3 linked regions of the Stegostoma tigrinum genome follow. Each later gene encodes a partner of the first gene's protein in a complex. Links are inferred from orthologs where the notes say so. Each region holds a gene or a part of one and is shown on either strand. Other genes may lie near its edges. The genes, in order: arl1, arfaptin-2-like and golga4.

Evidence for each region.
Region 2: the proteins of arl1 (region 1) and arfaptin-2-like are in contact, whole or in part, in a crystal structure (PDB 4DCN), measured with the Homo sapiens proteins. The link is inferred for Stegostoma tigrinum from reciprocal best matches to the Homo sapiens genes ARL1 and ARFIP2. Residues at the interface, in NP_001168.1 of Homo sapiens: Glu17, Arg19, Gln38, Ile46, Ile49, Gly50, Phe51, Asn52, Val53, Glu54, Thr55, Gln64, Trp66, Ile74, Tyr77, Cys80, Tyr81; in NP_001363487.1 of Homo sapiens: Phe205, Thr212, Lys216, Thr217, Asp220, Asp278, Ile281, Lys282, Phe285, Leu286, Glu288, Asn289, Lys292.
Region 3: the proteins of arl1 (region 1) and golga4 are in contact, whole or in part, in a crystal structure (PDB 1UPT), measured with the Homo sapiens proteins. The link is inferred for Stegostoma tigrinum from reciprocal best matches to the Homo sapiens genes ARL1 and GOLGA4. Residues at the interface, in NP_001168.1 of Homo sapiens: Ile49, Gly50, Phe51, Gln64, Trp66, Ser73, Ile74, Pro76, Tyr77, Cys80, Tyr81, Ser83, Glu115; in NP_002069.2 of Homo sapiens: Thr2173, Glu2174, Glu2176, Tyr2177, Lys2180, Val2181, Glu2184, Glu2190, Thr2193, Lys2196, Val2197, Thr2200, Val2201.

What each region holds. Positions count from the first base shown.
Region 1 is NC_081371.1:59,384,592-59,392,333, reverse strand, and holds the start of arl1 (ADP-ribosylation factor-like protein 1), read left to right. Parts: upstream 1-4,235; 5' UTR 4,236-4,451; coding exon 4,452-4,455; intron 4,456-7,742. UniProt on the Homo sapiens protein: GTP-binding protein that recruits several effectors, such as golgins, arfaptins and Arf-GEFs to the trans-Golgi network, and modulates their functions at the Golgi complex.
Region 2 is NC_081359.1:113,858,484-113,866,296, forward strand, and holds the start of arfaptin-2-like, read left to right. Parts: upstream 1-4,638; 5' UTR 4,639-4,726; intron 4,727-5,066; exon of another isoform or gene 5,067-5,471; intron 5,472-7,813. Other genes in the region: timm10b (mitochondrial import inner membrane translocase subunit Tim10 B), read right to left, coding at 1,736-2,005, 3,426-3,521, 4,561-4,581. UniProt on the Homo sapiens protein: Plays a role in constitutive metalloproteinase (MMP) secretion from the trans Golgi network. May have important functions during vesicle biogenesis at certain cargo subdomains, which could be predominantly utilized by secreted MMPs, such as MMP7 and MMP2.
Region 3 is NC_081358.1:6,279,953-6,288,297, reverse strand, and holds the start of golga4 (golgin subfamily A member 4), read left to right. Parts: upstream 1-4,731; 5' UTR 4,732-4,855; coding exon 4,856-4,921; intron 4,922-8,345. UniProt on the Homo sapiens protein: Involved in vesicular trafficking at the Golgi apparatus level. May play a role in delivery of transport vesicles containing GPI-linked proteins from the trans-Golgi network through its interaction with MACF1. Involved in endosome-to-Golgi trafficking.

The sequences.
Region 1 (7,742 bases):
CTGGGTAAGATGCAAGGGAGGAAACTTCTGGGGTCATGGTGGAGATACTTAATACTTTGTTGGGGACCGGTAAAGTGTCAGGTGACTAGAGGACAGCTGATATGGGTCCTTGTTCAGGCAAGGAGTTGGGATAGGCTGGTAATTACAGAGCAGTTAGTCTGACATCACTTGACAGGAAATTTTCCTGGTTCATAGAATCTCTACAGTGTGGAAACAGGCCCTTCAGCCCAACAAGTCCACACCAACCCTCAGAGCATCCCACCCAGACCCATCCCACTAATCTACACATCCCTGGACACTACAGGCAATTTAGCATGGCCAACTCACCTAGCCAGCCTGCACATCTGCAGGAGGAAACCCACACAGACACGGGGAGAATGTGCAAACTCCACACAGACAGTCGCCCAAACCTGGGATCAAACCCAGGTCCCTGGTTCTGTGATGCAACAGCGCCAACAAGTGAACCACCATGCTGCCTGTTTTTTTTCTGAGAATTGAAACAAGTTGCCAATTTGGGTTGGAAAAGGTTGGAAAATATGCTGAAGGACAGGATTAATCTATACTTAGAAACCATGAGGTGGAGGTGCCAGTCTTGGACTGGGGTGGACAAAGTCAGAAGTCACACAACAAAAGGTTATAGGTCAACAGATTCATTTAAAATCACAAGCTTTCGAAGCGCTGCTCCTTCATCAGGTGAATGTGCAACGCTCTGAAAACTTGTGACTTCAAATAAACCGGTTGAACTATAACCTAAGATAATAAAATGTGAGGCTGGATGAACACAGCAGGCCAAGCAGCATCTCAGGAGCACAAAAGCTGACGTTTCGGGCCTGGACCCTTCATCAGAGAGGGGGATGGGGGGAGGGAACTGGAATAAATAGGGAGAGAGGGGGAGGCGGACCGAAGATGGAGAGCAAAGAAGATAGGTGGAGAGGGTGTAGGTGGGGAGGTAGGGAGGGGATAGGTCAGTCCAGGGAAGACGGACAGGTCAAGGAGGTGGGATGAGGTTAGTAGGTAGCTGGGGGTGCGGCTGGGGGTGGGAGGAAGGGATGGGTGAGAGGAAGAACCGGTTAGGGAGGCAGAGACAGGTTGGACTGGTTTTGGGATGCAGTGGGTGGGGGGGAAGAGCTGGGCTGGTTGTGTGGTGCAGTGGGGGGAGGGGATGAACTGGGCTGGTTTAGGGATGCAGTGGGGGAAGGGGAGATTTTGAAACTGGTGAAGTCCACATTGATACCATATGGCTGCAGGGTTCCCAGGCGGAATATGAGTTGCTGTTCCTGCAACCTTCGGGTGGCATCATTGTGGCAGTGCAGGAGGCCCATGATGGACATGTCATCAAGAGAATGGGAGGGGGAGTGGAAATGGTTTGCGACTGGGAGGTGCAGTTGTTTGTTGCGAACTGAGCGGAGGTGTTCTGCAAAGCGGTCCCCAAGCCTCCGCTTGGTTTCCCCAATGTAGAGAAAGCCGCACCGGGTACAGTGGATGCAGTATACCACATTGGCAGATGTGCAGGTGAACCTCTGCTTAATGTGGAATGTCATCTTGGGGCCTGGGATGGGGGTGAGGGAGGAGGTGTGGGGACAAGTGTAGCATTTCCTGCGGTTGCAGGGGAAGGTGCCGGGTGTGGTGGGGTTGGAGGGCAGTGTGGAGCGAACAAGGGAGTCACGGAGAGAGTGGTCTCTCCGGAAAGCAGACAGGGGTGGGGATGGAAAAATGTCTTGGGTGGTGGGGTCGGATTGTAAATGGCGGAAGTGTCGGAGGATTCCGCATGGAGATGGCCTCAAGGCCCTCCGCTTCTTCCTGTCCCGCAGGCCCGACCAGGCCCCCTCCACCGACACTCTCATCCGCCTAGCGGAACTCGTCCTCACACTCAACAACTTCTCTTTTGACTCCTCCCACTTCCTACAGACTAAGGGGGTGGCCATGGGCACCCGCATGGGCCCCAGCTATGCCTGCCTCTTTGTAGGTTACGTGGAACAGTCCATCTTCCGCACCTACACAGGCCCCAAACCCCACCTCTTCCTCCGGTACATTGATGACTGTATCGGCGCCGCCTCTTGCTCCCCAGAGGAGCTCGAACAGTTCATCCACTTCACCAACACCTTCCACCCCAACCTTCAGTTCACCTGGGCCATCTCCAGCACATCCCTCACCTTCCTGGACCTCTCAGTCTCCATCTCAGGCAACCAGCTTGTAACTGATGTCCATTTCAAGCCCACCGACTCCCACAGCTACCTAGAATACACCTCCTCCCACCCACCCTCCTGCAAAAACTCCATCCCCTATTCCCAATTCCTCCGCCTCCGCCGCATCTGCTCCCACGATAAGACATTCCACTCCCGCACATCCCAGATGTCCAAGTTCTTTAAGGACCGCAACTTCCCCCCCACGGTGATTGAGAACGCCCTTGACCGCGTCTCCCGCATTTCCCGCGACACATCCCTCACACCCCGCCCCCGCCACAACCGCCCCAAGAGGATCCCCCTCGTTCTCACACACCACCCTACCAACCTCCGGATACAACGCATTATCCTCCGACACTTCCGCCATTTACAATCCGACCCCACCACCCAAGACATTTTTCCATCCCCACCCCTGTCTGCTTTCCGGAGAGACCACTCTCTCCGTGACTCCCTTGTTCGCTCCACACTGCCCTCCAACCCCACCACACCCGGCACCTTCCCCTGCAACCGCAGGAAATGCTACACTTGTCCCCACACCTCCTCCCTCACCCCCATCCCAGGCCCCAAGATGACATTCCACATTAAGCAGAGGTTCACCTGCACATCTGCCAATGTGGTATACTGCATCCACTGTACCCGGTGCGGCTTTCTCTACATTGGGGAAACCAAGCGGAGGCTTGGGGACCGCTTTGCAGAACACCTCCGCTCAGTTCGCAACAAACAACTGCACCTCCCAGTCGCAAACCATTTCCACTCCCCCTCCCATTCTCTTGATGACATGTCCATCATGGGCCTCCTGCACTGCCACAATGATGCCACCCGAAGGTTGCAGGAACAGCAACTCATATTCCGCCTGGGAACCCTGCAGCCATATGGTATCAATGTGGACTTCACCAGTTTCAAAATCTCCCCTTCCCCCACTGCATCCCTAAACCAGCCCAGTTCATCCCCTCCCCCCACTGCACCACACAACCAGCCCAGCTCTTTCCCCCCCACCCACTGCATCCCAAAACCAGTCCAACCTGTCTCTGCCTCCCTAACCGGTTCTTCCTCTCACCCATCCCTTCCTCCCACCCCCAGCCGCACCCCCAGCTACCTACTAACCTCATCCCACCTCCTTGACCTGTCCGTCTTCCCTGGACTGACCTATCCCCTCCCTACCTCCCCACCTACACCCTCTCCACCTATCTTCTTTGCTCTCCATCTTCGGTCCGCCTCCCCCTCTCTCCCTATTTATTCCAGTTCCCTCCCCCCATCCCCCTCTCTGATGAAGGGTCTAGGCCCGAAACGTCAGCTTTTGTGCTCCTGAGATGCTGCTTGGCCTGCTGTGTTCATCCAGCCTCACATTTTATTATCTTGGAATCTCCAGCATCTGCAGTTCCCATTATCTCTGAACTATAACCTGGTGTTGTGTGACTCAGTACTTGGAAAAGCAGGGATTGATCAGAGATGGTCAACACTGAGTTGTCAAAGCGAGACCCTATCTGACTTGTTTAATTGAATTTTATTTTTTTAAATGGCTATGTATATTGATGAGGATCGTGGAATTGATGTGGTTTATGTGGAATTTGGATAAGGCCTTTGAGACGGTCCCACATGGAAGACTGGTCCAAAGGGTAAGATCCCATGGGATCCAAGGCAGGTCGGCAAAGTGGATCCAAAATTGGGCTTTCAAATAGGAGGCAAAGAGTGATGGTGGGGGAATGTTTTTTGTGGCTGGATGCCTGTGATCAGCGGTGTACCACAGGGATCAGTGATGGGACCCTTGCTGTTATGTACAGTGACAACTTGTGTGTGAATATATAAGAATTAATTAGTAAGATTGCAGGTATAAGTAATAACTAATCTTTGCATTTGTAAATAAAATAAGGCGGACTAAATTATTTCTTCCAACACCTGCTTCTAATTAATCCACAGGTACCTGGAACTGGAGCAACGCCACTGACTTTCTGCTTGTTCGGCCGCTGGCGGTGAAGCAGCGCCCTCTCCGTCTGGAGGACGGCATCGCGCGGGTCGCGTGGCACGCAGCCGCGGCGAATCGGCCGATGACGGTTGAATCTTGATGAAGAGCTGATTTTTCGCCAGTGTCGGGCACGAGGTAAATGGCTGGTATTTAAGCGGAGTCCGGGGGGTGGAAAAGGTTGCTTATTTTTCGCGGATTCCGAGGCGCGAATCTGCGGCGTCAGGAAACGGGCATTAGGCCTCAGGCTCTACCGGGGAGTGCGCGCGCAGCCTGGGGACGACGGCCACGTCGGAGCAAACAGCGAGATGGGTTAGTGAGAGATTTATTTAAATTATATAAAATGTACAGGGATGGGTATAAATATACAATGAATCGGTGAAGTGAGAAACGTGTCGGTGAGTGGTAGCTGTATAAAATATACGGTGTTTCCAGGGGTATACCTGATATACAGGGGGTAGGGAGGGAAATGTCAGTGAGAAACTTGTATAAAATATACAGTGGGATTTTATGTATCGAGGGGAAATGTGTCAGTGAGAAACTTGTATAAAATATACAGTGGGATTTTATATATCGAGGGGAAATGTGTCAGTGAGAAACTTGTATAAAATATACAGTGGGATTTTATATATCGAGGGGAAATGTGTCAGTGAGAAACTTGTATAAAATATACAGTGGGATTTTATATATCGAGGGGAAATGTGTCAGTGAGAAACTTGTATAAAATATACAGTGGGATTTTATATATCGAGGGGAAATGTGTCAGTGAGAAACTTGTATAAAATATACAGTGGGATTTTATATATCGAGGGGAAATGTGTCAGTGAGAAACTTGTATAAAATATACAGTGGGATTTTATATATCGAGGGGAAATGTGTCAGTGAGAAACTTGTATAAAATATACAGTGGGATTTTATATATCGAGGGGAAATGTGTCAGTGAGAAACTTGTATAAAATATACAGTGGGATTTTATATATCGAGGGGAAATGTGTCAGTGAGAAACTTGTATAAAATATACAGTGGGATTTTATGTATCGAGGGGAAATGTGTCAGTGAGAAACTTGTATAAAATATACAGTGGGATTTTATGTATCGAGGGGAAATGTGTCAGTGAGAAACTTGTATAAAATATACAGTGGGATTTTATGTATCGAGGGGAAATGTGTCAGTGAGAAACTTGTATAAAATATACAGTGGGATTTTATATATCGAGGGGAAATGTGTCAGTGAGAAACCTGTATAAAATATACAGTGGGATTTTATATATCGAGGGGAAATGTGTCAGTGAGAAACTTGTATAAAATATACAGTGGGATTTTATGTATCGAGGGGAAATGTGTCAGTGAGAAACTTGTATAAAATATACAGTGGGATTTTATATATCGAGGGGAAATGTGTCAGTGAGAAACTTGTATAAAATATACAGTGGGATTTTATATATCGAGGGGAAATGTGTCAGTGAGAAACCTGTATAAAATATACAGTGGGATTTTATATATCGAGGGGAAATGTGTCAGTGAGAAACCTGTATAAAATATACAGTGGGATTTTATATATCGAGGGGAAATGTGTCAGTGAGAAACTTGTATAAAATATACAGTGGGATTTTATATATCGAGGGGAAATGTGTCAGTGAGAAACTTGTATAAAATATACAGTGGGATTTTATATATCGAGGGGAAATGTGTCAGTGAGAAACTTGTATAAAATATTCTCCATCTACAGTATGTATTGGGGGGTTGTTTGTTCAGGCTGGAGGCCTGGGAGCAGTGCTCTGTCACAAGGTTTGGTGCTGGGGCCACTGTTGTCCCAAATCTTTTTACATAAATACATTGGGTGAGAAGGTAGGGACCATGGTTGGTATGTTCATGGAAGACATCAGAGTTGGTACCATAGAGTTGTACGGCAAGGAATCAGACCCATTGGCCCAACTAGTCCATTAGTCTAGACCCACTTGCTAGATGTGATAATGGGAACTGCAGGTGCTAGAGAATCCAAGATAACAAGGTGTAGAGCTGGATGAACACAGCAGGCCAAGCAGCATCTCAGGAGCACAAAAGCTGATGTTTCGGGCCTAGACCCTTCTGCCTTCTTCATCCTGTCTGCTTGTGACTCCACCTTCAAGGAACTATGCCCTTGTGCGGTCTCTTTGGCACTACTCTTCATGACCTCACCATTAAATGTATAAGCAACAGTATTTAACAAGCAAAAACAAAGTTGCTGGAAAAGCTCAGTAGGCCTGGCAGTATCTGTGGAGGAGGAAAAAAGTTAATGTTTTGCATCTGGTGACCCTTCCTCAGAACTCTTACAGCATCTGCAGTTCTTTTGGTTCTTTATTTAGTATTTAAGAAGTACCTGGATGCGCACATAATCAGGAAGGGAATGGGGGATATGGATCCTGTAAGTGAAGACTCTTCTAGTATGGAAGAGTAAAATGTGTTGGTGCAGGCTTAGTGGGCTGAAGGGCCTATTCCTGTGCTGTATTGTTCTTTGTTCTAAATCCTGCCCTGATTTGCCTTGCCAAAATGCAACACCTCTTATTTATCTAAATAAAACTCTTATCTGCTGCTCATGAGCCCAATTGATCAAGGACTTGTCATACTCTGATATAACCACTTTTGCTGCCCACTATACCACTAATGTTAGTGTCATATGCAAACTTACTAACAATATCTCCTACGTTCACCTTGAAATCATTCATATAAATGATAAAAAGCAGTGGACCCAGCACCAGTTCATGTGGCATACTGCTGGTGACAGGCCTCCAGTCTGAAACCCCCCACCACCCCAATCCTCTGCCTCTTACCTTACAACCAATTTTGTATCCAGTTTTAAAAAACAAAAGAACTGTGGATGTTGTATATCGGGACCAAAAACTAAAGTTGCTGGAAAAGCTCAGCAGGTCTGGCAGGATCTGAACAGAAAATCAGAGTTAAGGTTTTGGGCTCAGTGTTTTGAGGAAGGACATCAGACCTGAAACATTAACTCTGATTTTCTCTTTGCAGATGCTGCAAAACCTGAGCTTTTCTAGCAACTTCTAGTTTTGTTCTTGTATCCAGTTTATACTGTTAATGGTAGGGCCCTGGGGAGTATTATGGAATAGAGATACCTGGGGCCCAGGTACAGTTTCTTGAAAAATCATGTTGCAAGTTGAAAGAGTGATGAAAGTGTTTGGTATGCCTGTTTTTTTTTATTGGTCAAAACTTTGAGTACAGGAGTTGGGATGCCATGTTCAAGATGTTAACTGCACATTGAGTACTGCATGCAGTTCTGGTCACCCTGCCATAGAAAGGATATTGTCAAACTGGAAAGGGTGCTAACAATTTTTTTTACAAGGCTGTTACTGAGATTGCAAGTTTTTATTTCATGGGGAAGGGCAGGATAGGCTGGGACTTAGCTCCCTGGAGCTTTGGTGTCTGAGGGATGACCTTATAGAAGCTTCTAAAATCATGAGGGTCATAGATCAGGTGAAGTGCCAGGTCTTCTTCCCTGCATAGGGGAGTCCAAGACTAGAGCACATAGATTTCAGGTGAGAGGGGAAAGATTTAAAAGGGACCTGAGGGGGTAGCTCTTGCTTGCTTTCTGTCAGGGTGGTG
Region 2 (7,813 bases), on another chromosome or scaffold:
CACACTTTATTATCTTGGATTCTCCAGCATCTGCAGTTCCCATTATCACAGACATTCTAATCCCATCAGGAGTAACAGTCAGCATTTAGCAAGTGCTTAAACGATCTCCTCCTCCGTCAAGACAGATATCATGCAAACTTGTGTACAATTGACACAACTACCTGATACCATAGTGCTAAAATTTTATCATTAAAGAAAATTAAACCTTTAAAAATCTGTGTCTAAAAAGAGTCTACTGTAAAACAGTACTTTGGATTCCATCACCACCTCAAACGGTGCCACTGTGGATGCTCGATAAAGAGGCTATTTTTGCCACTCACCAATCTCGGTCATTATTGCACATGATCTCACACCATAAACACACTGGGAACACAAGAATGTTCAAACAATGTCTACTATTAGTGAAATATAGCAAGGTGGCTCAGTGGTTAGCACCGCTGCCTCTCAGTGTCGGGGAGCTGGGTTCAATTCCACCCTCGGGTGACTGTGTGTGCAGTTTGCACATCCTCCCTGTGTCTGTGTGAGTTTCCTCCCATGATCTAAAGACATGCAGGGTAGGTGAACTCGCCATGCTAAATTGCCCAGGGAAGTTTAGGTTAGGTGAGTTAGGCATGGGAAATATAAGGGTAAGGGAATGGGGTTAAAATTGTTTCAGAGACAGTAGGAACTGCTGATACTGGAGAATCTGAGATAACAAGGTGTAGAGCTGGATGAACACAGCAGGCCAAGCAACATCAGAGGAGCAGGAAAGCTTGCTGTTTTGGGCCTAGATCCTTCTTCAGAAATTTCTATGAAGAGTTCTACAAATAAGGGTCTAGGCCTGAAATGTCAGCTTTCCTGCTCCTATGATGCTGCTTGACCTGCTGCATTCATCCAGCTCTACGCCTTGTTATCTCTGGTAAGGGAATGGGTCTGGGTGGGATGTTCTTTGGAGTGGCGTTGTGGTCTTGTTGGGCTGAATAGCCTGTTCCCACACTGTAGGGATTCTATGATGCTTCTATGAAAGACTGGTGTGGCGTCTCTGTATGGATTATTCCCACAGTGACGCACTCACTATGTCTGCAATTTTACCTCTTAGTTCTGGGCAGCTCATCACTCACAGAGGGACCATACTCTTAGTGGTAATGATATAATTCATGTGTTTGGGGCCTGGAGTAGACGACAGACTCCTGAACTGATAGTTCAGATGATAAAATATTCTGAAACATTACCCACAATTTCTTAAACAACATCTGTGAACTGAAATAAGTGCTGTCATTTGACAAGGGTCTCACCTGTAACTTAAATGTATATTAATTCACTGAAGAGCAAGGAAACATTTTCAATGAAACTAACTTTAATCAGTTCCATGCCTTGGCTGTCTTGAGCTCCTTTTTCGTTTAAGATGTTAACAGTTCAGCATTCAGGAGTTGAGTTTTCACTTTCACAATGTGAAACGCTCTGGCTATTCTGGTCAGTATGACCTTTGGTTTCCAGTCTTGTCACTGTCTAATAGTTGCGGTCAGTCCAGTTTGGCCCATTCCAGACCACACTCCAGCTTCTGTCAACACAAATTCAACTACCTGTTTAAAATGCCAGGTGATGTAGATATTGAGCTGGGTCTGTTGATTTTCTGTTACACATCAGCTCCCAACTGATGCCGTTTGATTCGCTGGAAGTTGGAAGGAATCACTCAATCTGTGCACGCAAGGGTAAGTGAAAGAATTAGTGCCAGGGTGACACTGGGAGCAAGAAACTAACTCTGGTCAGGAGAGCCAGTGTTAGTCTGATTCAGTGGGTCAGGGATAACAGAATTTTCCAAGTCCCCTGGTACAATTTCAGCAATGTTACTTTGGCCCTCTGATGCAGGCAGATTCACATTTGATTTCTGCACAACCTCTGCAGCTTTTGCCTCATAGTCAGAGATTCTTCTTTGAACAATGGTTGGCATGAGCCGGACGTAGGAACTCATTAACCGATGGTTGGTGTGGATCAATTTACCAGCACAATTGTTGATGCAATTCTCCTAGAAAGAGAGGAAACATATTAAAGCACATTCCGTTCCAGAGCATACCATCAACAAACTGTGTCATATCGTACAGACACCTAATAGGCCGCACTGTCAAAGGGTCATGAGTAATTTGTCAATATCTCTGCAATTTCCACTTTCCCTTCCATATCCTTGGCATACATTGTTTTTTAATTCTCTTATGAGGTGTGGGTGTCATTAGCTGGGCCCAGGATTTATTGCCCACCCATATTTGCTCCTCGAGATGGTTACGGTGTGCTGCCTTCTTGAACTGCTGCAATCCATGTGATGTAGCTAGACCCAAAAAGCCCTAAAGGAAGGAATTACAGGATCTGACCCAGCAACACTAAAGGAACGGCAATATATTTCCAAGTCAGGATGGTGAGTGTCTTGGAGAGGAACTTGCAGGGTATGGTGTTCCCATGTATCTGTTGCCCTTAATAAAAATGAAAAGAACTGCGGATGCCACAAATTAGGAACAAAAACAAAGTAGCTGGAAAAAGGTCCTTCTGTATGGAAGTGGTCATGGGTTTGGAAAGTGCTGTCTGAGCAACGCTGGCAAATTTTTGCCATGCATCTCAACTGGTCTGGTGACTTCTCACTGCCAACAGTGTCTTGAATACCAGCTCCTTATTAACCTTAAACCCTTTCAGTGACTGAGATTTTGTCTCTGTCACCATGTACTGAGCAGCACCTGCCCCTTAAGTAAAGATAGCTGCAAAGTATTTATCTAACACCGAGCTACATCTCTTGGTTCTAACTGTAATAGCCCATTTTCATCTCTGGTTAATCAAAGGGTGAAAGATTACTGGGGATGGAGTAATGATATGAGCCAAGAAGGAGGGTCAAAATGATCCCTTGTTCCTGATTTGTGTGATGAGGTTCAAAGAGTCAGAGAGGTCTCAGCACAGAAAAAGGCTCTTCAGTCCATCAAGTATGCACCAGTCAAAAACTGTCACCTAATTATTCTAATCTAGGATTTGGCCCATTCTCTTGCCTGTCCTGGCATCAGAAGTGCACATCTAAATACTTCTTCAATGTTAAAGCGGCTTCTGCCCTTTCCATCCTGACAGACTGAGTTCCAGATTCCCATCAACCTCTATGTGATATTTTTCCTCAAATAACCTTTAAACTTTATGGCTCTTCCCTTAAATCTACACATCTGCTCATTGATCCCTCCAAAGGGAAAATTTCTTCCTGTCTACCGTATCTACGACTCTGATTATTGTATGCATGTCAACCACATCCACTCTCAATCTACTCTGTTCTGTTCTAAGAAAAATAACCCCAGTCTTTCCAACCTCTTTTCGTACAACTCTCTAGTCTAGGCAACATCCTGGTAAAATTATGTTTAAACCCTTTCCAGGGCTATCACATGCCTCCAATGATGTGTGCAGCTGGTCATCCTTGGATTTACCTCAGTCAATGTGATGCTCCTGTAGTTGAGGTTGGCCACACACTTGTTGAAGCAGGTTTCTGTCATTTTGTTATAGACCAACAGGAAGTCCCGCAGCTGAAACAAAGAGAGAGCGAGCGAGCTGGAGATTAAGATCACAGAGGAGCAGAAACAAACCCATACACCTACCCCTCCATATATGCCATTGACCTCCTTCCCGTGAAAACACAGATGCTAACACAGCCATTGCTGTCCGTAAATTTCCACGTGAGTGTATGATGTTGGGAGTGGGGGATAGGAATGAACGGATGTATTACTGAGGGGGTTTGTGCAGGACATAGACTCTGGGGGTGAGGGGGATTCTTAGTGAAGAGGGCAGCCACATGAGATTGGGGCAAGTGAGCTGGGGAGGGGTTAGAACACAGAACATAGAACATGACAGCACAGTAGAGGCCCTTCGGTCCTCGATGTTGTGCCGACCTGTCATACCGATCTCAAGCCCATCTAACTACACTATTCCATGTACGTCCATATGCTTATCCAATGATGACTTAAATGTACCTAAAGTTGGCGAATCTACTACCGTTGCAGGCAAAGCGTTCCATTCCCTTACTACTCTCTGAGTAAAGAAACTACCTCTGACATCTGTCCTATATCTTTCACCCCTCAATTTAAAGCTATGCCCCCTCGTGCTCGCCGTCACCATCCTAGGAAAAAGGCTCTCCCTATCCACCCTATCGAACCCTCTGATTATTTTATATGTTTCAATTAAGTCACCTCTCAACCTTCTTCTGTCTAATGAAAACAGCCTCAAGTCCCTCAGCCTTTCCTCGTAAGACCTTCCCTCCATACCAGGCAACATCCTAGTAAATCTCCTCTGCACCCTCTCCAAAGCTCCATATCCTTCTTATAATACGGTGACCAGAACTGTACGCAATACTCCAAGTGCGGCCGCACCAGAGTTTTGTACAGCTGCAGCATAACCTCTTGGTTTGTGGGGGAAATTGGAGGGGGTGGGGGGGTGAGGGAGGGGTGGGGGTGGGGGGGGTGAGGGAGGGGTGGGGGTGGGGGGGGTGAGGGAGGGGTGGGGGTGAGGGAGGGGTGGGGGTGAGGGAGGGGTGGGGGTGGGGGGGGGTGGGGGTGGTGAGGGCCTCACGTTGCGAATCTCCGGCTCCATTCTGTCTCGACGACCTTTCCCAAATCGCTTCCGGTGAGCCGCCCAGTTGTGTCGTCACTTCCTGGCGGTGGCCCGCCCTGGCTCCGGGTCCCTAGAAACCGGCTCAGGCCCCTCCCCGCCGAGAGACACCCGAGCGGCAGCCCCGGTAAGAGAACGGGGCGGGGGGAAACAAGAGGTCCATCCCATCCCCCCACCCTAACCCGTCTCCCTCTCCCTCCTTCCCCCTCCTCCCCGACGCCCCCACTCTCCTCCCCCCTCTCCCCCCCCCCCCATTAGTATTTGTGTGTCGCTATGATTTGTGAACTGCTGGGGAAGGTGTCTGTTTGACCAGGGAGTGCCCATCATACTCAGGACGGGTTGCTATTCTCAGTTGGTCAGTGTCACCCAACTGCCCACGTTGTCTTACCCACTGCTAGTGCAGTCCACCCCCTTGACCTGCTCCCATGGTATGAACCTGCCCTCTGTATATTTCTCCACCTCCTGCTGTGGTTTGCACTGATGTAGTTGCTGATCGTAGCGTGTATTTGGAGACTAATTCTCGCCCTGACCTTGTTGACATCACTCGATGTGTCTCACCTGCATACATGAACGAAAATTGTAGACTCTTCAAACATCAAACTGCGACACAACAAGCTGAGTACTGCTTGGATCACAATGTGTAACAGAGTACTCCCTCTGTGACATGCACACATCCTACAGCCTGTATTCAGTGCTACCACCACCGCCTCCCTCCTTGTCTCTGTAACCTCCTCAGGCCCCTGACACGTACCTTGTCCCTCCTCCTGTCACCCCATTTGTGGCTATTCCTTTAGCCTCTTCAACCCCACACATCAGTCCACGTAACAGGAATGCAGTTTGCCAACATCAGAATTCCTCATTGTTTATTCACGGTAAGGGTCACTAACTGTTGCAGTTCAGAGTCACTATTTATTCAGACTAGTAGCAGGAAACTATAAAGTGCTGTGTTAAACATGGTAACAAACAGGAGCAGGCCCTTTAAGCCTGCTGCATCATTCATTGTGATCATTGCTGATCATCCACTCGAGTCTGTGCGTGTTTTTACCGATCATTGTTTGATTCCTTTAAACTCGGGTACTATCTACAATTCCCTCTTTTAATCATTGTGTTTTTATTGACTGCTTTCGGTGGCAATGAATTCCACAGGCTCTCTACTCTCTGGGTGAAGAAATTTCTCATCTCGGTCCTAAATGACTTATAATGACTTAGACTGTGTCTCTTGGTCCTGGATTCCACACTTGTCATCCTTCGTGCATCCACCCTGTCTGGTCCTCTTTGAATTTTAAAGGTTTCAGTGAGATATTCCCCACCCCACTGCATCATCCTTCTGAAATCCAGGGAATAAAATCCAAACAGATGCAATCTTTCCTCCTACAACAAGGTTAGGTCACTTGGGATCCCTGGAGAGCTAGCGAATTGAATTCAAAATTGGCTTGATAGTAGGAAGCAGAGGGTGATGGTTGAGGGTGATTTCTCAGATTGGAGGCCGTGACTAGTGGTGTGCCACAGGGTTCAGTGCTGGGACCTTTTGTTATTTGTTATTTACATAAATTATCTGGATGTGAATGTACGAGGCATGATCAGTAAGTTTGCAGATGATACAAAATTAGGAGGTATCGTTGATAATGAGGAAGGTTATCAAAAATTACAGAGGGATCTTGATCAGATGGGGAAGTGGACTGAAGATTGGTAATTGCAATTCAATACGGATAAGTATGAGGTGTTGCACTTTGGAAAATCAAATCATGGTAGAACTTATGCAGTAAATGGTAAGGTCCTGAGGAGTGTTGTGGATCAGAGGGACCTAGGAGTACGAGTACATAGTTCACTGAAAGCCGTGTCACAGGGTAGATATTTGCATGCTGGCCTTCATTGGTCGAGGCATTGAGTATAGGAATTGGGACCAAAAACAAGTTGCTGGAAAAGCTCAGCAGGTCTGGCAGCATCTGTGAAGGTAAAAAGAGTTAACGTTTCGGTTCTGGTGACCTTTCCTCAGAACTGAGAAAGTTACTTAGTTCTGAGAAAGGGTTACCAGATCTGAAATGTGAACTTTTTTTTCCCCATCGCAGATGCTGCCAGACCTGCTGAGCTTTTCCAGCAACTTTGTTTGTTCCTGATTTACAGCACCTGCAGTTCATTTGGTTTTTACATAAGAATTGGGACGATCTGTTACAATTGTACAAGTTGTTGAGGCTGCACGTGTAGTATAGTTTTCAGTTTTAATTACCCTGTTATAGCAAAGACATAGTTAAACTGGAAATTGTGCAAAGAGGATTTATGAGAATGTTGCCAGGACTAGGAGGCCTGAGTTATTGGGAGAGATTGACCAGGATAGGAATTTATTCCTTGCAACATGGGAGAATGAGGGATGATCTCATTGAGGTGTATAGGGCATATATAGAATGAATACATTTAGTCTTTTTCCCAGGAATAGTGGGTTGAAAACTAGAGGATGTAGGTTTAAGGTGAGAGGGGAAAGATTTAAGAATGACTTGAGGGGCAACTTCTTCACGTAGAGGGTGCTGCATATATGGAATGGGCTTCCCGAAAAAGTGGTTGAGGCGGGTATAATGGCAACATCTAAAAACTTCTAGATGAGAAGGGTTTAGAGGGATATGGACGAAATGTAGGCAATTGGAACAAGCTGAATGGGCACCATGGTCAGCATGGACCAGTTTATGCTGAACGGCCTGTATTATTCTATGACTCTATAACTATCCCAGGAATTAATCTGATAAAGCTTTGCTTCATTCCCTCTGTAGCAAGAACATCCGTCCTCAGAGAAGGAGACCAAAACTGCACATAATACTCCAAGAGTGGCCTCACCAAGACCCTGTATTACTGCAGCAGGACATCCCTGCTCCTGTACTTGAATCCTCTTGTTATGAAGGCCAATATCCCATTTGCCTTCTTCACCTCCTGCTGCAACTGCATGCTTATCTACAGTATATCATGACACCCAGGTCTTGTTGAACATTCCCCTCTCTCAATTTCTTGCCATTTAGATAATGGTACGCCTTCCAAGTTTTTGCTTCCAAGTGGATAACCTCACATCTTTCCAAATTATGTTTCGACAACCATGCATTTGCTTACTCACTCAACTTGTCCAAGTCACACTGCTGCATTTCTGCATCCACCCACCCATCTTTGTGTCATCTAGTACCCCATTGTCACTGTGTACTACTCAGAAAAAGACCCATTTATCCCTACTCAC
Region 3 (8,345 bases), on another chromosome or scaffold:
GCTGATTTAAGGAACTGATATTGTGTGTCCTTGATAGGTATGTCCCTGTCAGGCAGGGAGGAAGCGATAAGGTAAGGGAACTGTGGTTTCCTAAAGAAATTGTATCTCTTGTTAAGCGGAAAAGGGAGGCTTATGTGACGATGAGACGAGATGGGTCAGATGAGGTGATGGACAATTACAGATTAGCTAGAAAGGATTTAAAGAGAGAGTTAAGAAGAGCAAGGAGGGGACATGAGCAGACATTAGCAGGTAGAATAAAGGAGAACCCTAAAGCTTTCTATAGGTATGTAAGGAATAAGAGGATGACTAGCGTTGGAATAGAGCCAGTCAAAGACAGAAGTGGGAAGTTGTGTGTGGACCCTGTGGAGATCGGAGAGGTGCTAAACGAATATTTCTCATCTGTTTTCACTCAGGAAAAGGAGAATATTGTAGAGGGGAAGACTGAGATACGGGCTTTTAGACTTGAAAGGATTGTGGTTAGTAAGGAGGTGGTGTTATCAATTCTAGAAGGTATGAAGGTAGATAAACCACCTGGGCCAGATGGGATTTTTCCGAGGATGTCTGGGAAGCTAGGGAGGAGGTGGCGGAGCCTTTGGCCTTGATCTTTGAGTCCTCATTCTCTACAGGTTTAGTGCCAGAGGACTGGAAGATTGTAAATGTTGTGCCATTGTTCAAGAAGGGCAGTAGGGATGACCCAGGTAATTATAGACCTGTGAGCCTTACGTCTGTTGTAGGAAATGTTTTGGAAAGGATTATAAGAGATAGGATTTATAATCATCTAGCAAGCAACAATTTGATTGGAGATAGTCAGCATGGATTCGTCAAGGGCAGGTCATGTCTCACAACTCTCATTCAGTTTTTTGAGAAGGTGACCAAGCATGTGGATGTGGGTAGGGCAATTGACGTGGTGTACATGGACTTCAGTAAAGCCTTTGATAAGGTTCCACATGGTAGGCTATTGGAGAAAATGCGGAGGCACGGGATTGAGGGAGATTTAGCAGTTTTGATTAGAAACTGGCTTTCTGTAAGAAGGTAACGAGTGGTGGTTGATGGAAAATATTCAGCCTGGAGTCCGGTTACTAGTGGTGTGCCTCAAGGATCTGTTTTGGGACCACTGCTGTTTGTCATTTTTATAAATGACTTGGACACAGGCATAGGTGGATGGGTTTGTAAGTTTGCAGATGACACTAAAGTCGGTGGAGTGGTGGACAGTGTGGAAGAATGTTGCAGGTTGCAGGGAGACTTGGATACACTGCAGAACTGGGCTGAACGTTGGCAAATGGAGTTCAATGCAGACAAATGTGAGGTGATTGACTTTGGGAAGAATAATAGGAAGGCAGAATACTGGGTCAATGGAAAGATTCTTGGTAGTGTGGACGTGCAGAGGGATTTTGGTGTCCATGTACATAGATCCCTGAAAGTTGCCACCCAGATTGAGAGTGCTGTTAAGAAGGTTTATGGTGTGGTAGATTTTATTGGTAGAGGGATTGAGTTCCGGAGCTGTGATGTCATGCTGCAACTGTACAAAACGCTAGTACGGCCTCACTTGGAATACTGCGTGCAGTTCTGGTCGCCCCATTACAGGAAGGATGTGGAAGCGTTGGAAAAGGTGCAGAAGAGACTTACCAGGATGTTGCCTGGTCTGGAGCGAAGGCCTTATGAAGAAAGGCTGAGAGACTTGGGTCTGTTCTCATTGGAGAGAAGAAGGCTAAGAGGGGATTTAATAGAGACATTCAAGATGATCAGAGGATTAGATAGGGTGGACAGTGAGAGTGTCTTTCCGAGGATGATGACGTCAGCTTGTACGAGGGGACATAGCTACAAATTGAGGGGTGAGAGATTTAAGACAGATGTCAGAGGCAGGTTCTTTACTCAGGGAGTGGTAAGAGTGTGGAACACACTGCCTGTCAATGGAGTTAACTCAGCCACATTAGGGGCATTTAAACAGTCCTTGGATAAGCATATTGGATGATGATGGGATAGTGTCGGGGAATGGACTTAGATTAGTTCTCAGGCCGTCGCAACATCGAGGGCCGAAGGGCCTGTTTTGCACTGTATTGTTCTATGTTCTGTGATGTATGAATAGGAAAGGTTTGGAGGGATATAGGCCAATTGCTGGCAAGTGGGAGTAGTTTCGTTTGGGAACATGTACGCTTTGACCAAAGAGTTTGTTTCCATGCTTTACGACTCTATGACATGAGAAATGAAAATGATCTATTAAAAGAACATTTCAAAAAAAGGAAAAATATGTTATCTTGAGACTGTGAACAACGTAACGAAGATTGTATCAGAGAAAGGAGGAACTGCAGATGCTGGAGAATCCAAGATAACAAGGTGTAGAGCTGGATGAATACAGCAGGCCAAAGGAGCAGCCCCTATGATGCTGCTTGGCCTGCTGTGTTCATTCAGCTCTACACCTTGTTATCTCAATGCAATGAAGATGATAGCTTTTAGTTAGTTGCTCCAAGACAGTCCTGGGGAATTGGGAAGTCAACCCAAGACATCAGCTCCTCGGAGCCCTCGATGCAAGTCGACCCTTGCTGGTTCCCCACCTCCCCTCTAACCTGTGTGCAGAGGCTGCCACCGGTGGACCATCTCCTCCACAAAGTCCTGGGTGCAGACGTTCCCCTGCTGGTTCCTCCTTTCTAAAGAGTCATGGGTGCGGATACTGCCTCTGCTGCACCCTCTCCTCCAAAGAGTCCTGGATGCAGACAACAGCCTTGCTGAGCCTCCCTTGCATACTGTTCTTGGTGTAAACAGCGCACCTGCTTGTGGCTCTACGTACAGACAGAACCCCTGCTGAACCCTCCCCTCCAAGGAAGCCTAGGTTCAGACACTGCTGGACCCTCACCTCCCCAGAGCTCTGGATGCAGAAAACGTCCCAGCTGTACTCTCATTTCTCGAGCCTAAGAATGCATACAGCGCCCTTCCTGGACCCTCTCAGTGACAGAGACCCAAGTGCAATTAGCACCCAAGATAATGAAATGTGAGGCTGGATGAACACAGCAGGCCCAGCAGCATCTCAGGAGCACAAAAGCTGACGTTTCGGGCCTAGCCCCTTCATCAGAGAGGGGGATGGGGAGAGGGTTCTGGAATAAATAGGGAGAGAGGGAGAGGCGGACTGAAGATGGAGAGAAAAGAAGATAGGTGGAGAGGAGAGTATAGGTGGGGAGGTAGGGAGGGGATAGGTCAGTCCAGGGAAGACGGACAGGTCAAGGAGGTGGGATGAGGTTATTAGGTAGAAGATGGAGGTGCGGCTTGGGGTGGGAGGAAGGGATGGGTGAGAGGAAGAACAGGTTAGGGAGGCAGAGACAGGTTGGACTGGTTTTGGGATGCAGTGGGTGGAGGGGAAGAGCTGGGCTGGTTGTGTGGTGCAGTGGAGGGAGGGGACGAACTGGGCTGGTTTTGGGATGCGGTGGGGGAAGGGGAGATTTTGAAGCTGGTGAAGTCCACATTGATACCATTGGGCTGCAGGGTTCCCAAGCGGAATATGAGTTGCTGTTCCTGCAACCTTCGGGTGGCATCATTGAGGCACTGCAGGAGGTCCATGACGGATGTGTCATCTAAAGAATGGGAGGGGGAGTGGAAATGGTTTGCGACTGGGAGGTGCAGTTGTTTATTGCGAATCGAGCGGAGGTGTTCTGAAAAGTGCATCCCCAAGCGTCCGCTTGGTTTCTCCAATGCAGAGGAAGCCACACCGGGTACAATGGATGCAGTATACCACATTGGCAGATGTGCAGGTGAACCTCTGCTTAATGTGGAAAGTCATCTTGGGGCCTGGGATAGGGGTGAGGGAGGAGGTGTTGGGGCAAGTGTAGCATTTCCTGCGGTTGCAGGGGAAGGTGCCGGGTGTGGTGGGGTTGGAGGGCAGTGTGGAGCGAACAAGGGAGTCACGGAGAGAGTGGTCTCTCCGTAAAGCAGACAGGGGTGGGGATAGAAAAATGTCTTGGGTGGTGGGGTCAGATTGTAGATGGCGGAAGTGTCGGACGATGATGCGTTGTATCCGGAGGTTGGTGGGGTGGTGTGTGAGAACGAGGGGGATCCTCTTTGGGCGGTTGTGGCGGGGGCGGGGTGTGAGGGATGTGTTGCGGGAAATGCGGGAGACGTGGTCAAGGGCGTTCTCGACCACTGTGGGGGGGAAATTGCGGTCCTTGAAGAACTTGGACATCTGGGATGTGTGGGAGTGGAATTCCTCATCGTGGGAGCAGATGCGGCAGAGGCGGAAGAATTGGGAATAGGGGATGGAATTTTTGCAGGAGGGTGGGTGGGAGGAGGTGTATTCTAGGTAGCTGTGGGAGTCGGTGGGCTTGAAATGGACATCAGTCACAAGCTGGTTGCCTGAGATGGAGACTGAGAGATCCAGGAAGGTGAGGGATGTGCTGGACATGGCCCAGGTGAACTGAAGGTTGGGGTGGAAGGTGTTGGTGAAGTGGTCTAGGCCCGAAACGTCAGCTTTTGTGCTGCTGAGATGCTGCTGGGCCTGCTGTGTTCATCCAGCCTCACATTTCATTATCTTGGATTCTCCAGCATCTGCAGTTCCCATTATCACTGATGCAATTAGCACCCTGCTGCGATCTCACCTCTCAGAGCTCTGGATGCAAACAGCGCTTTCCTGCAAGTCTCTCTCCCCTAAAGCGCCCTGGGTGCAAGCAGCGCCCCCGGCTGGTCTTTGATGCGTGTGACACGCGCCTTTGGCTGCCGGGGCCACGTTGCCGGCACATGCGCTGTGCGGCAATCCGGATCGTGAGGCCTGAAGTCCGGGAGCCGGGGCCTGGCGGGGACCGTGGAGGCTGTCGGCGACCCACGCAATTTCTGTCCCCACCCTGGTTCTCGGGCTATCCCGGCGGCTGGCACGATGTTCAAGAAACTCAAGCAGAAGCTTAACGAAGAGCAGTTCCCGGTCAGGAGCGGCGTAGTTCAGGTGAGAGAGGGCGGAGGGCACTGTCGGCCAGGCCCGTCCCGTCCCGGCCCGGCCGGGGAGAGGCGTTCCTGAAGCTCCGGGAGGGGGTGTTGGGATGATCCAGACTCCCTCCAGACCCCACTCTGAACATCAGTGAGTAAGGGCGGGTTGGGGAATGAGCCACTGTCCCCTCCCTAACAGCTGTCATAGGGCCCCAGGCTAACTCTCGGAGCAGAGGCTGAGTACCAGGTAGTTCAGAATTGTCCTGTCAGTTGACCCTCATTTCCCGGAGATCACGCAGACGAAACCCCGACCTCTTTGACCTCTGGTACCTTCAGCTGGACGAGACCCCGGCAGAGCGACAGTGGTTCGCGCAAGTTTTCGAAAGCTCTGCTTCTTCATTGTACGTGGCTGTGTGGGATTTTTGAAGTTCAGTGGTTTTTCCAACTTCGCAGTGGTTCATTTCGACTCTGGTCAGGATAAACAATTATTGTAATTGATTTACGAGAGTGTTTTGGAAGGAAACCTTTTATCACGATGAAATCAGAATTACCCATCTTGGTTGTGTTGTGAGGTGAGGTGACTTCATTGGTGATATTGATATTTCTGTAAGAGAGAGATGTGGAAAACTGTGTCAGCGTTTCTTTCCGGATTTTCAATCTTGGGATGCCAGTTGTGTAAACGATTTACTCGCCCATATTTGAATCACAGTCTTAGTTTTCTTTTCCTAAATCAACTGTTACGGGTATGTTATGATACTCATCTGGAGGAGTTGAGACTTGAACCCAGGTTTTCTGAGCCAGCGGTAGGAACACTGCCATTGCATTGCAAAACCCAAAAAAGTGTTTTCAGGATAACGAAGTGTGTAGCTGGATGAACACAGCAGGCCAAGCAGCATCTCAGGAGCCCAACAGCTGACGTTTTGATCTTTTCCAAACAACCTGCTCACAAGATTTTATTTTACGCCAGTGTAGTAGGTGAAACTTGAAGCTGGGTCTCTAGCTCAGGGTAGGTACGTTAGCCTGCATCGCAGGCACCCTCATTGAATCACAGTCTTTGCTATCCTGCAGCTGATGTTCGATTTGCTCCTTCTCCCAATGACTGAAGGTACTCAGTAGTTAAGTATATTTACAACTTGAGATGATTGGCCTTTGGACCCACAGTGAATTAAAATATGAGGATAGAGCAGCAGAGTACAAGTGAGGTCAATATATAAGTCAAGTTTTCTTAAAACGCAAGAAGCTTCGTGGATATGTCTCCTCTTGTTTTTTGATCAATGGAGAGCATCAATGTTGTGGAGTTAACACCCTCATCACAAAGAGGAATGGTACACATTTAACATTTCTCAACATTTCTGTAATTGGTCAACATATTGCTTTCATAATCGTGGGGGAATCAATGCCACCTTTTTGACAGTTTCAATAGAATTGAGCATTTACTGAACAAAGCAAGAAAACTCATTTATGATTTTGTCGTGAATTGAACTTCGTTAGTTATTGAAGGTTTGTTTTGTAGGATAAGCTGCTACTTGGATTCTTGAAGTGACAAAATGTTTTTGTGTTTCACAGTGGTTGATTACAACCCGTGCCTGACAAACCAACAGCTGGCTAATCGGCTAATGATGCTGGTTTAGTGTCATGTCTGACTTGAAACTTATAAATTTGAGCTGTTGATTTGGTATTATTATCTCTATACATTGGGTTGTTGATGTAATGCTTTGAATCTATTTGTAAAGAAGTTGCCCAAATGTCAGAAACAAGCTAATTAAAGCGAAGCTTTGGCCACATTCACTGAAAGATAATTTTATTATGCACAGTTGTGTAATTGTGGATTCTGAATTTTGTCCTCTTGGGTATGATGTTTGAAAATAGTGAAATTTGAAACATGGTTCAAATAAATGATTTATTACAACCAGCTTCACTAAGAACGCAGAAGCTGGTAAATTCCCAGGGACAATTCGCGCCAGTACTGGTTCAATTAAAAATTGAAACTAAATGAGGAAGTAAATATTTAACAAACCCCCTCAACTGGTTCTCTGTCATATCTTTGAAGGGATGTGCAACTAAATTGTTTTACTTACACGAAGGGCCTACATATGGGTTTAACAAATGACACAGCAGTTTTATTTGTTTGCATTTTCATGTTCCCATATATTTGCCCACTCTCCTCAGTATTAAAAGATTCTAATGCCTAAAATTTATGTACAGTGCTCAGCTCAATTTAATTGTGAATCTAAAATTCATATCAGTAAAATTTGTATAAAATTGTCACTCAATATTTTTGAGAGCGTGAATAAAATAAATATAAAGCTTCAGCCAAGTGCATAGATCAAGGCAAAGAGAGAACTTGCCAGGGGTAAATGAGTTGAGTGCAGAAACCAATCAATATTAACCGCAACATAAAACTGCTAAAGAGCATTCCAGTGCCTGTACACTGGGTGTAAAAAAGGAATGCAGGAATACAACATATTTCAGGAAGGATGTACTGGCCTTGGAGTGGGTTCAGAGGAGGTTCATGAGAATGGTCCAAGGAATGGAAAGCTTAACATATGACGAACATTTGAGAACTCTGGGACTATACTCATTGGAGTTTGGAAGGATGAGGGGGGATCTAATTGAAACTTTCAGAATACTGAGTTATGTGGACAGTGTGGATGTTGGGAAGATGCTTCCATTGGTAGGAGAGACTAGTACCTGAGGCCACAGCCTTGAGGAAAGGCAAGACCTTTTAGAATGGAGATAAGGAGAAACTTCTTCAGCCAGAGTGTGATGAATCTATGAAATTCACTGCCACAGAAGGCTGTGGAGGCCAGGTCATTGAGTACATTTAGAACTGAGTTTGATAGGTTCTTGATTATCAAGGCGATCAAAGGTTACAGGGAGAAAGAGGTTGAGGAACTTATCAGCCACGATTGAATGGTGGAACAGTCTCGATGGACTGAACAGCCTAATTTTTGCTCCTATGTCTTATGGTCTTTAAAAGTAATTGGCTGATCTGGCCACTAGAATTATGGAATTATTGTGAGTTGGAATCCAAATTTGGGATATTCACTGAGCTATTAGCAATTTGGCAAAGTGTACTGAGTCTTCAAGTCTCAGGATGACTCTTGTTCAAAACTTAGATTGAATAAGACCCAAGGTTACTATTTCCCACACGTTGATAATCGTTCGGCCAGACGTGTCCAAGCTAAAGATTGCTGGTAACTTGCAAGGAAAACCTATCATGGTGAATTTGAAAATTCACATAAACTTTACATTTTGGATAATTTTCTTCAAGCTCTTTAGAACCAGGCAGACAAGAAGCTATCCACAATATGATGGAATTTTCAGCATTACAGTTGAAGGTTTGTCATGTGAGTTGCTTTTGTTTCATTGTTGTTGATACTTGATTTTAAGAGTTGTTTAAAAATTTGAGGAATGATTTTAAAAAGACAATATTGTATTCA